2 linked regions of the Callithrix jacchus genome follow. The protein of the gene in region 1 purifies or fractionates together with the protein of each later gene. This does not show direct contact. Links are inferred from orthologs where the notes say so. Each region holds a gene or a part of one and is shown on either strand. Other genes may lie near its edges.

What was found.
Region 2: the proteins of SBF2 (region 1) and MTMR1 purify together in Homo sapiens (affinity purification with mass spectrometry; 3 studies listed by BioGRID and IntAct, with this or other methods). This does not show direct contact. The link is inferred for Callithrix jacchus from reciprocal best matches to the Homo sapiens genes SBF2 and MTMR1.

Annotation. Positions count from the first base shown.
Region 1 is NC_133511.1:75,669,918-75,673,417, forward strand, and holds part of SBF2 (myotubularin-related protein 13), read right to left. Parts: intron 3,015-3,500; coding exon 2,887-3,014; intron 1,411-2,886; coding exon 1,177-1,410; intron 99-1,176; coding exon 1-98. UniProt on the Homo sapiens protein: Guanine nucleotide exchange factor (GEF) which activates RAB21 and possibly RAB28. Promotes the exchange of GDP to GTP, converting inactive GDP-bound Rab proteins into their active GTP-bound form.
Region 2 is NC_133524.1:147,043,119-147,047,210, forward strand, and holds the start of MTMR1 (phosphatidylinositol-3-phosphate phosphatase MTMR1), read left to right. Parts: upstream 1-1,292; 5' UTR 1,293-1,425; coding exon 1,426-1,592; intron 1,593-4,092. UniProt on the Homo sapiens protein: Lipid phosphatase that specifically dephosphorylates the D-3 position of phosphatidylinositol 3-phosphate, generating phosphatidylinositol. Could also dephosphorylate phosphatidylinositol 3,5-bisphosphate to produce phosphatidylinositol 5-phosphate.

The DNA.
Region 1 (3,500 bases):
GTTCTTGGTTCTTCTTTAAGGTCCACGGTTACCCTTTCCCACAGCTGCTGCCACTTCTCAGGGACTTGATTTAATTTGTGTTCCAGTTTTTCAATTTCCTGCCAAGAAATTAAAAGTTTTTTGATAGATCAGTATCTCATGGAAATCAGGATGTGCCCCAAAGCCACACTGCTTCTGTACTAGGCCCAGATGAGCAGCATGGTCAGAGGGCAGTTGAGGAAAGTGGTGGACCTGGGCCTCAGAGGTCTCCCAGCCAGGAATAGTGGTGACAGCTCTAGCTGGTATGCCACACTGTGGCAAAGATAGTTTATTAGGACCTACAACTAGGCCTTTTGGTACAGGATAGCTTACATACTAGGATGTGAAATATATATCTCAGACATCTGCACTGTTGGGCAGCCCATGGGAAATCTGATAGCCAAAGCAAGAGGTCAAGCACTGGGCCTGTGGCCCAGCCCTAAAAGCTGAGGTAGATGAGAAGTCTGTCCTTGACAGGAGGAACCCCTCAACTCTGATGATTCAAACCAGATGTGGAAAGAATGAACCAAGAAATGCCCAAGGAAACAGATATCCCTTCTGACAGGGATGCTGGAGATCAGAGCAGCTGCCTCTGTGACAGTATGACACTGAAGTATACTCTTCCTGGTCAGGAAACCAGAGGGGAAAGACTCTTCAGGAACTGTCTGGCCCCTATCAAGGCTCAAAGCTACTCCTCAGGCTGGCTACTGCCAAGATGGGTTTGTTCTGGAACACTCCTTGCAGAAGATGGTTGGTAGCACTCCCATCAGGCCACTGAAACTACCCACACTTTTGACTAGAGGAAGTAAAGCACCCACAAAAGCCACAGCCAAGGCCTGACTAAGGCTCTTCGGGCAACTAAAACAGCTGGGAAGCTGCCGGAAAGAGTAAATTGCTCCATTTGCTTGATTGCTTCCTTGTAATGCTGGAAAATCACTTTTATTGAGACTCTTTTCCAGTAGTGAAGCCTGGTCCCCCACAATGACGGGGAGCAAATCTGTTTTCTTCATACCGGGAGGGTGCTACCATAACCTTAGCCCAAAGTAAGGAAAGCCATGTTCTGAAGTTTATAAACCATTCTTAGCTTAGCCTGGTTTCTTTGGCCTTATGCCTCTGGTGCCCATGGTGCCCCTAGGTGTGTATCTACAGTTGACTTACACTGAAAAGGCTGGTGAAAGCATCGGGCTGAGTACAGCTCACATTATCGTAGCATGGCCACACTGTTCTCCTCTGGCTCCGGGGCCCAGCTTCTCCAGCCAGGTCAGTGTCTTCGGAGGGGAAGTGCTTGGGGGTTAGCATCATCCAGTCATAGGAAGGGCCTGTGGACAGGGTCTCTTCTATGTAGTAATCCCACTTCTTAAGGCTGGAGACATTTACACTGGGCTTCAGGGCCTGTTAAAGAAAACAGAAATACAGTTTCATCTTGAACCCAAAGCTCACTGTCAGGCGAGCCCCTAACATCTGTAGAGTCCAGGGGAGGAAGAGTGTGAATGGAGGTTCAAATCCATATGTCTAACTATTTAAAAGTCATACATCAAAATAAATTATTAAAACAATTTTCAATCCATTAGGAAATATAACTTCCTAATGACCCAGAAGGTCAAGTTCAATAGAGGATTCTTGGATTCCTTAGAACTTTATATTAGCAAGTGGTGGCACTAGGTTAGCTGGCCCCAGGTCCCAGTCCTTGGCCTAACTCTTCTTCTCCCACCCGTAACTTATATTCTAAGAGTCTTACATGAATGTTTATGTATACCCCAGCCCATAAAGTCAAACTCTGTCCACTATCAAACCTGCCACTTTTTACCATTCTTTGGGCCTTGAGGTCCATGCACTGACTTAGTAGACCGACTTGGAGAAGTAGTCTGGTGGGCAGCCTGAATTTGGGCAAAAATTCTGAAGTACCCAGAACATGGTTTAGATGAAAGAGGGGCATCTAGGCATGTACCATTGGTTTCTTGTACTCCTCACTTCATGAGGATGCAGCTAGAAGAAGGCCAGACTAGGGTTCTATGATTGGGGCCTGGGAGAGGGGACTCTCTTGGCCCTAAGTAATGGTGGAACTGCTTATCGGACCAGTCTGTTCCATTCCGGAGCATGTGTTATGTAGATGTGCATGGTGGGGAGATATGTTATCCTTCTTGGGCTCGGCTCCAAACATTTCTGCTTCCTACAGGGGTCCTTCCACGGCGGCTTTGGTACTGATGGACTTAAACAAACTTTTTCTAAGGTATTTTAAGGTTTTTCAGCTTAGAACACCTGTTGATATTTCAAATTTTGTTAGTTCCTTTTTTTTTTTTTTTTTTTTTTTGAGGTGGAGTTTTCACTCTTGTCGCCCAGGCTGGAGTGCAATGGCATGATACTGGCTTACTGCAACCTCCACCTCCTGGGTTCAAGCAATTCTCTGACCTCAGCCTCCCTAGTAGCTGGGATTACAAGCATTTGCCACCACACCCAACTAATTTTTATATTTTTAGTAGAGACAGGGTTTCACCACATTAGCCAGGCTAATCTTGAGCTCCTGACCTTGTGATCTACCTGCCTCAGCCTCCCAAAGTGCTGGGATTACAGGTGTGAGTCACCACGCTCAGCCAAATTTTGTTAGTTCTTTCTTCCTGGGGAAAGTTGCCTTGCTTTGATTCTCTAGAAGTTTTCCCTTCTAGGTTTTGGGGGCCAGTTCCTCATTTTTGTGGCATTATCACAACCCAAACGTATAGTGTCTCAAACTTTGAAATAGCTTTTTCAAAGGTATTAAACAGCTTATATATACTAAGCTAAGAAAGGTATTAAACAGCTTATATATACTAAGCTAAGAAAAACTCAACACAAAATTTCAGAAAATGAAACATAAATGATTTCTTACTCTACCTCTATTTCCAGTGGTGAATATAAATAATTAAAGAAAATGGGACTCCTCTTGTGCATCCTGTCAATGCACTCCCAAATACAGATTCCTTTTTTGGCATGCTTTTCTCCTTTATCATCAAATAAAGTTCCTGTAAATTAAAAAAAATCCAACAAAACAAAATTAAATAAATTAACACTTTGCCTAAACAAGTATGATGCATGTAGCAGATAAAAAATTGGAAATTGTTTTCATGGCTCTAAAAATAGCAACATTTGTGTGAAAACCTTAGAAAATAACTGCAAAGCTAAAGACGTAATGAATTTCATAGCTATATAGGGAAACAAATCCAGATGGAGGAAGCATCTGATAAAGTTTGCCTCAGCAGCGAGCAGTCCATCATGACTCTTCCAACCCTCATCCTGCATCTCTATCTAGATTCAAAGGAGTCCATGCAGGAGGCATTCTACAGCTGTCAAGAGAAAATGGAAGGACTTCAGAGTTGATTTGATGAAACTCAGTAAAAAACATAATTTTATGTTTCTGTTTTAAGTTGTTGGCCATTTATCAGGAAGCCATTTAGAGTGTTCTCTTGTTTAGCAGTTTATATATACCACAGATCATGGTCACTGACACT
Region 2 (4,092 bases), on another chromosome or scaffold:
GATGGCCTTTCCTAAGTGTGTGCATGTCAGTGCATGAGATCACAGGTGACCCCTCCTATAAAGCACCAGTTCCGTCAGACTAGAGCTTGGCCCTCATGACCTGATTGTCTCTCAATACCATCTCCAAATACCATCACATAGGGAGTTAGGGCTTCAACATATGGACTTCAGGGGGATGAAAACATTCAGTCTGTAACAGTGGGTTAACCATTTTATTTAATAATTGAAAGCCAGCAGCCTGCAGAAGATGATTCTCCAGTGTAAGATGGGAGTTATTATTGTCTGGGGATCTTCATTTCCTTCTTCCCAGCCCTCTACACCTTGTTATCGTCTTACCCCAGGCTCACCTCCTCTTGGGTATAAGATGGCTGTAGGGGCTTCGGCCATCATATCCTCAAAGTTAAGTTTGACGTCATTAAGCTGGTAGGGCAAGATGAGTTTGGGATGGGCATGAGGAACTCTCTGTCTGCAGGTCTGCCTTTTAAGAGGGGGCGAATTGTTCCCTTTATAGCTCCTTTGCCAGGTCTGGGTCACAGGACTCCCGTCTACACCCAGAGCAATCACAGGCAAAGGGGCTTAATCATGAGCCACACATCCACTCCCAGCTTAATCAGGAGTGACGTGAGAGAGGATGATTCGCACCCAAACAAAATGAGCAAGAAAATAAATCTAGCCCAGAAAGTAAATGTCCTAAATGCCTCAGCAAGATAATTGGCTTGGTTTTCATAGCAGTGATTTTTAATCAACAGTAGTTAAATGTTACTCTTAACATAAACCATGGGCGGAAGTTCCGAGGGCGGCATCAGAACACTTGGTTGCTCTACAGATGGCAAGGAGGTGGGTTTGTAGGGGGGTGTGGAAGGGGAGAGTGGAGGGAAGAATGGGGTGGGGAGGAATTGCTAAAATGCCCGGAATTGCTCGTGCTTCAAGAGGGAGCCTGAGCTGTCCTATACCTTTTCTGGGAAGGACAACTGAGGGGGGAAATAATTTTTAAACCTTGAATGTCTCCAAACTTCTTATTACACCCCACGTCTCTGCCGTCAACCGGGTTTAACTACAGAGCGAAGCACGCTATGCATAATCCGTTTGGGGATTCTGAACCCCAGTGGCTCGGAACGCGCCCAGGTCGCCAGAGCAAGAGGTCCTAGCCCCCCATCCCCAGGCTACGCGGGCGAGTGCCCAGGTGGGGGTTCCCGGCGCTGGCCCCCAGCGTCGCCCTCCCCGCCCCCGCTCCCGCTCCCGCCCCCGACCCCCGCGCGCGGGGCCTTGTGGGTAACGCGGGGCCGCCAGGTGACAGCTAATGGCGGCGGCCGCCTGAAGCGGGCGGGCGGTAGAGCGGGCGGCAGGAGGCGCGCGGCGGAACCTTCCCGGACGCCGCTCCTGTCCCGACGGCGGCTTCCCTACGGCGGCGGGACTCGGCGCGCCATGGACAGGCCGGCGGCGGCCGCGGCAGTGGCGGCGGCAGTGGCAGCAGCGGGCTGCGAGGGCGGCGGGGGCCCCAACCCCGGGCCGGCGGGCGGTAGGAGGCCTCCTCGGGCCGCGGGGGGCGCCACCGCTGGTTCCCGGCAGCCCAGCGTGGAGACCCTGGACAGGTAAGCGGAGCCCAGGCCGACCCGGCCTCTCGCGCCCCGACTGCCGAGGGCCCCGCGCGAGGCCCGCCCTCTCCCTCCCCGCGCGCCGCGTAGGGCCTGGCCGAGGCGGGGTGGACGAACCCTCTTCATCCCCTCCGGCCCCTCCCTCCCCGGAAACCCCTGCACCCCATTGGGGGCTGCCGCCCTCGGACCTGCTGCGGCCGCGCACCAGGCTTACTTCCGCCGCCCTAGTCCCAGCTCCTGGAACCCTGGGAGGGGCTTCGCGGCTATCAAACCACTTCCCGCGCCGCCACCTGCTACCCTTGGTGACCCCTTGGCTGTCCCTGCCCGGTCCACCGACCCTCGTGGGAGGGAGATCCCACCGGGGCTCTCCTCTTTTAGCGTCACCTTGACTCGTGTGGTTTTAAGACCCCAATTCTACTGTGGCTGCTTAAAGTCTTTGATGCTGGGGTTGGGAGTGGGGACAGGGAGATGGGACCCGCGGGCGTGGGAGCTGTTGCAGATCGAGGCAAAAATCTGGGATGGAAAACTTCCAAACTGCTCAGGAGGGAAGAAAACAGAACCTTTTACTTTCAGTTCTTCACATTTTGAAGGAACCAGTTTATTGTTTTCATGAACACACAAGCAAGCCTACTGCTTTTGAGGCAGCTGCAGAACTAAGAGAAATCAGAAGTATAAAGTGACCATGCCTGACTGGGAGGGGCACCCTTCCTCCGATGACAAGGGGTGGCCTATCCCGTAACCCGGAACATCCAGTGTCGCACATCTTGGCCATTTCTCTGACAGCAGAGTGCACTCAGGTAGCATGGCTGTTGTAATGTAGCTCTGTCAGTTTCAGATGCCCATTCCTGCCTGTCTTAGTCATACCATTGTGCCAAACTTTTGGGAGTTTCCAAAAGCACAGAAACAAGAAACATTCCCTTCACTTTAGTTTCTACCTCAATATAATTATATTTTAACAAATTAATCACCCAAGTGGTTAGTATCACTGAAAACCAGTCACAGCTAAGAGCACTTGAAATGGTGAGGACTTCACTCATCTGCAAATATTCAACGATGTACGAGTTCTGGGTGATTCACAGAATAGTACAACGTGGCTTTTGCTGGGCTTACCACGTAGTGGAGAATACAAACCAACCAATAGTAGAAATCGAATGAGATGTGTGATAGAGGCAAACGTGGAAGTACTCAGGGTGAGTGTGCATCAAAATCTTTTAAGGAGCCAAAGGAGACCAGAATGTGTCACCCCCAAATATTCCTCATCTTCTGGTTTCCTTCAGAGATTTTGGTGATCAGGAAAAGCCCCAGAAAGGTGACATTTGATTAATGTCCCCAAAGAGGCGAGGGATCCAGCCATACAGATACCTGGGGGTGATAACATTCTAGTCAGAGGCTTGTGCAAAGCCCCTGAGGTGAGTGTGAACCAAGTATTCCTAGATCAGCAAGGAGACTAAGTGTCACTAGCAGGGAGGGAGCCAGGGAGAGACAAGTAAGGGATGATGTTAGAGAAGTCACAGAGCCAGATGGTGGAGCGCCTCAGAGGCCATGAGGAGCCACAGGGGACCTTGTGCAGGGGAGTGACATAATCTGTTGTAGATTTCAGCAGGCTCTCCATGGTGCTATGTGGACAATATAGTGTCAGGGGAAGGAGTGGAAGCAGAGACTGGCAGTAGGAGGCTATTGGAGTAAGCCAAGTGAAATGGTGGCTCAGCCCGGAGAAGAGCGGAGGAGGGGAGGAGTGGTCAGATTCTAGATGTAATTTGAAGACCTGCAGGGTAGAGCCTATGGGGTTTGCTGAAGATTGGTTGTTTGGTAAGAGAGAAGAATCTGGGAGAATTCCAGGGTTTTAGCTTGTGGGAAAATTGTGTTGCTGAGATAGAGAAGTCTTTCTAAGGTGGAGCAGGGTTAGGAAATAGCAGGCTCTTTGCTCTGGACATATCAATTATGAGATGCCAATTATATGTCCCAGAATAGATGTCAAAGATATAGTTGGTTGGCCGGGTGCGGTGGCTCACGCCTGTAATCCCAGCACTTTGGGAGGCTGAGGTACGTGGATCATGAAGTCAAGAGATTGAGACCATCCTGGCCAACATGGTGAAACCCCGTTTCTACTAAAAATACAAAAATTAGCTGGGCATGGTGGCATGCACCTGTAGTCCCAGCTACTCAGGAGGCTGAGGCAGGAGAATTGCCTGAACCCAGGAGGTGGAGGTTGCAGTGAGCCGAGATCGCATCACTGCACTCCATCCTGGCGACAGAGTGAGACTCTGTCTCAAACAAACAAACAAAAAAGATATAGTTGCTGTGTCTGAGCCTGGAGTTCAGGGTTGTCTGAGCCTGGAGTTCAGGGTTGTTTGGGCTGGAGATTCAGACTGGGGAGTCATGGGCTTATAGATGAGGCTTAAATTCATGAGGCAGGTGGAGTACACAGAAGAATGAAAGGAGTCTGGAAAAGGGAATAGGACTAGGAATAGGGATGGGTGGATTTTCAAGATACTTA